Linked DNA regions of Saccharomyces cerevisiae S288C. The protein of the gene in region 1 binds, or shares a complex with, the protein of each later gene. Each region holds a gene or a part of one and is shown on either strand. Other genes may lie near its edges. The genes, in order: RNR4 and RNR1. A codon is read from its position in the direction of its gene.

The links.
Region 2: the proteins of RNR4 (region 1) and RNR1 are in contact, whole or in part, in a crystal structure (PDB 1ZZD), measured with the Saccharomyces cerevisiae proteins. Residues at the interface, in NP_011696.3 of Saccharomyces cerevisiae: Asn340 (codon at 521), Phe341 (codon at 518), Asp342 (codon at 515), Asp343 (codon at 512), Asp344 (codon at 509), Phe345 (codon at 506); in NP_010993.1 of Saccharomyces cerevisiae: Glu343 (codon at 2,591), Ser691 (codon at 3,635), Gln692 (codon at 3,638), Lys693 (codon at 3,641), Ile696 (codon at 3,650), Leu716 (codon at 3,710), Met721 (codon at 3,725), Gly722 (codon at 3,728), Lys723 (codon at 3,731), Thr725 (codon at 3,737), Ser726 (codon at 3,740), Met727 (codon at 3,743), Phe729 (codon at 3,749), Tyr730 (codon at 3,752).

The regions. Positions count from the first base shown.
Region 1 is NC_001139.9:854,764-858,372, forward strand, and holds RNR4 (ribonucleotide-diphosphate reductase subunit RNR4), read right to left. Parts: upstream 1,539-3,609; coding exon 501-1,538; downstream 1-500. Other genes in the region: OKP1 (Okp1p), read right to left, coding at 1-132; protein translocase subunit TIM13, read left to right, coding at 3,524-3,609. UniProt on the Saccharomyces cerevisiae protein: Provides the precursors necessary for DNA synthesis. Catalyzes the biosynthesis of deoxyribonucleotides from the corresponding ribonucleotides. RNR4 is required for proper folding of RNR2 and assembly with the large subunits.
Region 2 is NC_001137.3:297,386-302,439, forward strand, and holds RNR1 (ribonucleotide-diphosphate reductase subunit RNR1), read left to right. Parts: upstream 1-1,564; coding exon 1,565-4,231; downstream 4,232-5,054. Other genes in the region: ARG56 (bifunctional acetylglutamate kinase/N-acetyl-gamma-glutamyl-phosphate reductase), read left to right, coding at 1-616; TDA2 (Tda2p), read right to left, coding at 4,562-4,942.

The DNA.
Region 1 (3,609 bases):
ATCATTCACATTCATGAGAATGCTGCTATCGCTTTCAGAGGAACTTCGGTTGGGTGACAGATCCATGGCCTGGCCATTGTTAATTGAATCATTTTCAATATTTTGTAAAAAATTATCTCTATCAGCTGCCATACAGTATACGTAGCACTAGTATCGCTTGAATTATTCGTCCATAGGGTGCAAGTTACCTCATCCATTGTTGCTATGTACCTCTATCTGTATTAACTTCGAGGTAGTAAACAAATGGGTGGACCGTATTGTGACTCTCCGGGTAACAAAAATATGTTATTTAAATGAAATGACCGGGATGATGGTACTCTCTGAATCTTTCCCTTATCTACCTACAAGAAAATGGCAAATATTGTCATAATAAATATAAAAAAAAACTGTAGTTTCTTTTTAAATTTTTCTACTTAAGTTTAGTTATACTGTACCTAGGTATATATAAATATATATAAATAAAAGTGGCCAAGAATAAAAGAACGCACCCCGTCGTTGACTTAGAAGTCATCATCAAAGTTAATTTCCTTGGATGGGGTAGCGGACTTAGACATGTCACTGGCCTTTTGGTAGTCGGAAACCTTCTTTTCAAAGAAGGTGGTCTTACCAGCGGTAGCGACATCCTCCATGAATTCGAATGGGTTGACGGCGTTGTAGTATTTTTCGTTACCGAAACCTTGTAATAGACCGTCAGCGACAAATTCTATGTAGGTGTGAATGCTCTTCAAATCCATACCAAATTTTTCTACTGGCAAAGAGTTTGAGTAGTATTCCTTTTCAATTTCCACGGCTTCGGTAATGATTTTTTCAATGATCTTGGGGTTTGGCTTGGTTCTCAAATGGGCAAATAGCAAGCATGAAAAGTCAGTGTAGGCACCTCTGTCTCTACAGATGTTTCTGTTGGCCATTGCTAAACCTGGCATAATCTTTTTGTCAGTCAACCAGAACATAGAAGCATAGTTACCAGCTTGGAAAATACCTTCCTTTGCAGCAAATGCTACTAGTCTTTCAGCATACAAGCTGTCATCGTTGGAAATCCATCTCTCGATGAAAGCAGCCTTATGCTTGACTTCAGGCAAATTGGCAATTTCCTTGAATAGAGGGATGTTCTTAGGGTCCTTGAAGAAGGCATCAACCATCATGGAGTAAACTTCAGAGTAGATGTTTTCCATCATAATCTGGAACCCGTAGAAACTCTTACCTTCAGGGTTTTGCAATTGGGCAGAAAAGTTTTCGATCAAGTACTTGTTGACAAGGTTGTCAGAAGAAATGGACAAGGCTAACAAGTTACCGATGTAGGTCTTCTGGTCATCAGTCAATTTTTGGAAATCTTCAGTGTCCTTAGCCAATTCGATTTCTTCCGCAGTCCAGAAAGAGGCTTCAACCTTCTTGTAAGCAGCCCAGATTTCGTGGTATTTGATAGGGAACATCACGAATCTACGGCTGTTTTCCATCAAAAGGATTTCATCCTTTTCAGCTTCTTTCATATCATGACGTTCTTTTTGGAAAGTCTTCAAAAATTGGTTATGTGCTTCCATTGTAATAACTAATTGTGTGCGTTGCGCGGGGTTGTGTGGCTCAAAAAGATCTGTTTTTGTATTAGCAATTTTTTATTTCCCTTTTTAAATGAATTTTTTTTCTTTCTGTTTCGAGACAAGGCCTTTTGCAAAAAAAAAAAAAGTAAAAAAGTGAAATTTGATAGTGTAAGGGGACAGAGGTGGGGTCAGAAACCAATGTATCTATTGATAGTCTTTTTTTGATCGAAAAGCCAAGAGACAAAAAATGAAGAAAATGAGAGATAAGGAATGAAACTTTAGGAACATTGAAGATTCAATCGCCGTTTTTATACGCCAGAGCTTCATGAGACCAAGGAAGGAACGGACGTCGTCTACCGATTACAGTAAGCAAAGAGGATGGTGTTGCCACAACAACGCCCATCGGGAAGGCAAGAGACGCTGTGGTGAACAATAACTGCCAAAACGTGGTTCTCGCACGCTGAAAAGCGCGTTCTCGTGCGCCGCTTTCAGTGTGCTAGAACTTGCACTGTCCGGTTTCCGGTGCTTGGTGTTGGGTGGTCGTACCTGCTAGTTCCATTGGTGCGGTGTATGGGCGGGTACCCTCAAAAAGGGAAACGAAGGTAGGCGCACGGTGCTTATTAAGCTCAGAGGCGACCTCGCAGAAGGGGGCAGACCACACAAGCGGTGGAGGCGCTCCAGATATTCAGTGGAGTGGGGCTTGCTCATGTTCTGTTGTTGGTTTTGGATAGAAAAAGAGCGGGTTGAATAGTTTGCCATGGCAACCACTCTGGAAGCGAAATCACATAGACGCGTAAACACTCACACACAGGATATTCGTATAGCAAGGTACTAGTGGCGACACTCAGGTGGTCCTCGTTGCCTTATCTCCAGATTCCTCAATTTCTGTGAAACGTAAACATTATGGGAATAGTCTAGACGCGTACTTCATTTTCTTTGTTTCGTGAAAAGTACACTTTCCCGTCTTCGCCGGTTCCCTTTCTTGCCTGAAATGCTCGTTCTAATGGAAAAAAAAAGAAATAAAGGTGGGCCTGCCCATTAGCAGGAAATTGGTACTTAATTATTGAAAAAAAAATTATTGGTTGCTAAGAGATTCGAACTCTTGCATCTTACGATACCTGAGTATTCCCACAGTTAACTGCGGTCAAGATATTTCTTGAATCAGGCGCCTTAGACCGCTCGGCCAAACAACCACTTATTTGTTGAAAGCGAGCGCGGTACAAGTAATGTTACCTCATCTGATATACAATAAAGGTGGAGCGCCAATATATACGCATTTGACTGTTCATAATTCATTGAATATAATTTATTCCTTGTTAGTACAAAAGGGTTAAACAGAAAAAGACGTGACGTTGTAACCGAGAGGATGGTAACACCGCGGTATCACCCACTCGCCCAGCCGTTAAATCCAATCATCCGAATAAAATGTTTGTCCTTGCTAGTTTGTCCTGGTGATAAAAGCCATGACCACTTTTCTTGGAGCCTGCATCTGTTATCTCTCCCGTCGATAATGGACTTTGCACCGGTGTATTACCCGCAAGAATTCTGATAACGTTCAAGCTAAAACAAAACTGCTAAATGAGTTCTGAAATGGCATTTATGAGTACATATGATAGATTTGCTATGTATCAAACCTGGAACTGGCGCTAGCGCTATGGTTTCACTTCCTCATTAAACCATACCCTTGACGATTTGACAGGTCGCTACAGATTCAGAAAGAGATCATATCAATACAACAAATAAAATATAAGCGAATAAAGAGCAATGTCTTTCCCCTTTAGTCACATTACTAGCCAACGCTAATTCTTGATCTCCTTCCTCTTGTTTCCGGTGTATCTTAGTTTTCCTGGCGTTGCCGAAGAGTAAAAAAATCCTAGGTCCTAAGATTTATAAAATCGACAAAAAGAGGATTCAAGTAGGATATCTGTCAGTTCAAACCAATCAATCTTTTCTCTCCAACAACAGTTTGAGCTTATTTAATCAAGAAAATGGGTCTATCATCTATCTTTGGCGGCGGTGCACCATCACAACAAAAGGAAGCAGCCACTACTGCAAAGACAACCCCAAACCCTAT
Region 2 (5,054 bases), on another chromosome or scaffold:
TGATAGAGCAAAAATTGCAAACGCTGCCAAAATTGCTAATCCCGGTTGTTATGCTACTGGTTCGCAATTAACTATTTCTCCGTTAACAAAGTATATCAATGGTCTTCCAACTGTGTTTGGTGTTTCAGGGTATTCAGGCGCGGGGACGAAGCCTTCTCCAAAAAACGATCCCAAATTCTTGAACAATAACTTAATTCCTTACGCTTTAAGTGATCATATACACGAACGCGAAATCTCAGCTCGCATTGGGCACAATGTTGCATTCATGCCCCATGTTGGGCAGTGGTTTCAAGGTATCTCTTTGACCGTCTCTATTCCAATAAAAAAAGGTTCCTTGTCTATTGATGAGATCAGGAAATTATACAGAAATTTTTACGAAGACGAAAAGCTAGTACATGTCATCGATGATATCCCACTGGTTAAAGATATTGAGGGCACCCATGGTGTAGTTATTGGTGGTTTCAAGCTGAATGATGCTGAAGATCGTGTAGTTGTTTGCGCAACCATCGATAACTTACTTAAAGGCGCCGCTACTCAATGTCTGCAAAATATTAATCTTGCTATGGGTTATGGAGAGTATGCTGGTATCCCTGAAAATAAAATTATTGGTGTCTGATCACTGTGTATAGTAGATCTGCAGCTCAGTCACATGAGACATTAACGTATATAAATATATAAATATATATATATCCATTAAATAACGAAGTAGGACATGGTCTAAAAATAGTGCTTCTCATGTATTGATTTTGAGTAGCCATAAGAATAATTATTGATTTCAAGATCTTTGATCTCCTTACATCCAAAATTATAATACCACTTTATGGTATCACGACATCACCACAACAGAGAAGGATTGCCGCATTTGGATATCGTAAACAAAGGCGTTACCATAGAAATGTACTGATTGGCAGAATTACTCTTCAGGAGAATCTTTCATACAAAGGAATTCCATTGGGGAAAATCTCGTTACCAAGTCAATGCTGAACTTTCTATGGCCTTTGTTTACTATCGTTAATTATTTTACGACCACTTCTGGGTAGAAATATTTCGTAGCCCTGGAACGAGCTTGTTTACGCGTTTTATCCCATTATATGGCACCCAAATCAAATTTAAAAAGAAAAAACGCGTAAACAGTGTCGGGTAAGTTCATCCTCTGTTACTTTAATTGCTTCTTTTTTTGAAATTCTAAGTAAACGCGTCATTTTGATCCTCAGGACACAGAAATCCTTGCAGAATCTTATTGGGTGTTGAATAGAGGACGCGTAAAAACGATATGGAAATTTTTTTCATATAGTGTAGAAAGAATAGGTTGGCGTAGGTAGTTTCGTGTTTGATAGAAACCTCCAACAAAGTCTGCAGCTCACGTTTTAGAATAACAAGTTTAGAGTTTATCTTGTTGCCTTTGTTAAGTCAGTACCATTGAATAAAAATTATATAAAGGAGCTAATATTTCATTGTTGGAAAATTACTCTACCATAATTGAAGCATATCTCATCCTTTTCATCCTTTTCAACGCAAGAGAGACACCAACGAACAACACTTTATTTGTTGATATATTAACATCATGTACGTTTATAAAAGAGACGGTCGTAAAGAACCTGTCCAATTCGATAAGATTACCGCTCGTATATCACGCTTATGCTATGGTTTAGATCCAAAACATATCGACGCCGTTAAGGTCACCCAACGTATCATTTCTGGTGTCTATGAAGGTGTCACAACAATCGAACTAGACAACTTAGCCGCTGAAACATGCGCTTATATGACTACTGTTCATCCAGATTACGCCACCCTAGCGGCCAGAATTGCCATTTCTAATTTACATAAACAAACCACAAAACAATTTTCTAAGGTTGTCGAAGATCTTTATAGATACGTCAATGCTGCTACTGGTAAGCCCGCTCCCATGATCTCTGATGATGTCTACAATATTGTCATGGAAAACAAGGATAAATTGAACTCCGCAATTGTCTATGACAGAGATTTTCAGTACAGTTATTTTGGTTTTAAAACTTTGGAACGTTCTTATTTACTAAGAATCAACGGTCAAGTGGCCGAACGTCCACAACATTTAATTATGAGAGTCGCACTAGGCATCCACGGTAGAGATATCGAGGCTGCTTTAGAAACGTATAACTTGATGTCTCTAAAATATTTTACTCACGCCTCTCCAACGTTGTTCAATGCCGGTACTCCAAAACCTCAAATGTCCTCTTGTTTCTTGGTTGCCATGAAGGAGGACTCTATCGAGGGGATTTACGACACCTTGAAGGAATGTGCTTTGATTTCCAAAACTGCTGGTGGTATTGGTCTACATATCCATAACATTCGTTCAACTGGTTCTTACATTGCTGGTACAAACGGTACTTCTAACGGTTTAATTCCTATGATTCGTGTTTTCAATAACACTGCCCGTTATGTTGACCAGGGTGGTAATAAAAGACCTGGTGCGTTTGCCCTTTACCTGGAACCATGGCATGCTGATATATTTGATTTTATTGATATTAGGAAGAACCACGGTAAAGAGGAAATTCGTGCAAGAGATTTGTTCCCTGCTCTATGGATTCCTGATCTTTTCATGAAGCGTGTCGAAGAAAATGGGACCTGGACATTATTCTCTCCAACATCAGCTCCTGGTTTAAGCGATTGTTACGGTGACGAGTTTGAGGCTCTATATACCCGCTACGAGAAAGAAGGTCGTGGTAAGACTATCAAAGCCCAAAAATTATGGTATTCCATTTTGGAAGCTCAAACTGAAACTGGTACACCTTTCGTTGTTTACAAGGATGCTTGTAACAGAAAATCTAATCAAAAAAACTTAGGTGTCATCAAGTCATCAAACTTATGCTGTGAAATTGTTGAATACTCAGCTCCAGATGAAACTGCTGTTTGTAACTTGGCTTCCGTTGCCTTACCAGCATTCATTGAAACTTCTGAGGATGGTAAGACTTCCACATACAACTTCAAAAAATTACATGAAATTGCTAAAGTTGTTACTCGTAATTTAAACAGAGTCATTGATCGTAATTACTACCCTGTTGAAGAAGCGAGAAAATCCAATATGAGACATAGACCAATTGCTTTGGGTGTTCAAGGTCTCGCTGACACTTTCATGCTGTTACGTTTGCCATTTGATTCTGAGGAAGCCCGTTTGCTAAATATCCAAATCTTTGAAACTATTTATCATGCCTCCATGGAAGCTTCTTGTGAACTAGCTCAGAAGGACGGTCCATACGAAACTTTCCAAGGATCTCCTGCTTCTCAAGGTATACTACAGTTTGATATGTGGGACCAAAAACCCTACGGCATGTGGGATTGGGACACCTTAAGAAAAGATATCATGAAGCATGGTGTTAGAAATTCCTTGACCATGGCACCAATGCCTACTGCATCCACATCCCAAATATTGGGTTATAATGAATGTTTCGAACCAGTCACTTCCAATATGTACTCCCGTCGTGTCTTATCCGGTGAATTCCAGGTTGTGAACCCTTACTTACTGCGTGACTTGGTTGATTTAGGTATTTGGGATGAGGGTATGAAACAGTATCTGATTACACAAAATGGCTCCATTCAAGGCTTACCAAACGTTCCACAAGAATTGAAGGACTTATACAAGACTGTTTGGGAAATTTCACAAAAGACTATCATTAACATGGCAGCCGATCGTTCTGTCTATATTGATCAATCTCATTCTTTGAATTTGTTCTTACGTGCCCCAACTATGGGTAAACTAACAAGTATGCATTTTTACGGATGGAAGAAGGGATTGAAGACCGGTATGTACTATTTGAGAACCCAAGCTGCATCTGCTGCAATTCAATTTACTATTGATCAGAAGATTGCGGATCAAGCTACAGAAAACGTTGCTGATATTTCCAACTTGAAGCGTCCATCATATATGCCTTCCAGTGCAAGCTACGCTGCCAGCGATTTCGTGCCCGCAGCTGTGACTGCAAACGCAACTATTCCATCTCTAGATAGCTCCTCGGAAGCTTCAAGAGAGGCATCTCCAGCTCCAACAGGTAGCCACTCATTAACTAAAGGAATGGCAGAATTAAACGTTCAAGAGTCTAAGGTAGAAGTTCCTGAAGTACCTGCCCCAACTAAGAATGAAGAAAAAGCTGCCCCCATCGTTGATGATGAGGAAACCGAGTTCGACATTTACAACTCTAAGGTTATAGCATGTGCTATTGATAACCCAGAAGCTTGTGAAATGTGTTCGGGTTAATGAGGGCTAAGTTTTTATTTCTTCAATTCTATTTATCAAAATTTGGGTGTTTACTTCGAGGTGTAATTTATATTTTCTTTTGTTTTCTCTGATAAAAAAATTGGTTTCCATTCTAATGCCAAGCTAAAAGGTACCTATATATGTTTACTAATTATTTTTCTACTTTGCATATATACATAAAAAAAGTCGAATAATTTAACATGAACATTTTAAGCTGTCCTTGTAAGAAGGCCATGATACAGATTCCCCCCTGCCCCGAAATGGGGTCTAGGCAACATTGTTCTATAAAGGAACGCAACTTTATGTGGCAACATTAAAGCAAATACATATCTACTTGTGAAGCCAAAGAATTGTAATTAAATAGCACTCATTATTATTTTTGTCTTCTAGTTTATAGTTGAATATACCATCTTTTTTAGATTCCCAGGATGCGCCTATATCGTTCTTCAATGAGAAATTAGCGTTTTCTTCGTTGAGTCCTTCAATGTTCAACGTCGTTACCGAGGCAATATATTTATACAAAGAAGAGTGCTTTTCAAGTTTTTCTAGGACCAGTTTTATAAGAAGGTTGGAAGTTGATTCGGTCGATAAATTGATTTCATTGTCATCTTTTAAACTATCATAACTTTCTTGAATTAACGTAACTAGTTTTCTTTCGGGCAGAGGAGAGTTATCACTCCTTCCATCCTTTATTTCAATCTGCATACTCATTTTTTTGTTGACTTTCGTAATCACTTACTTTCACTTATCCTAAATAATTTACAGTGCGTTTTGTAAAACTGCAAGACGGTATCCGCTAATAGAGAGAAGAATACGTATTTTC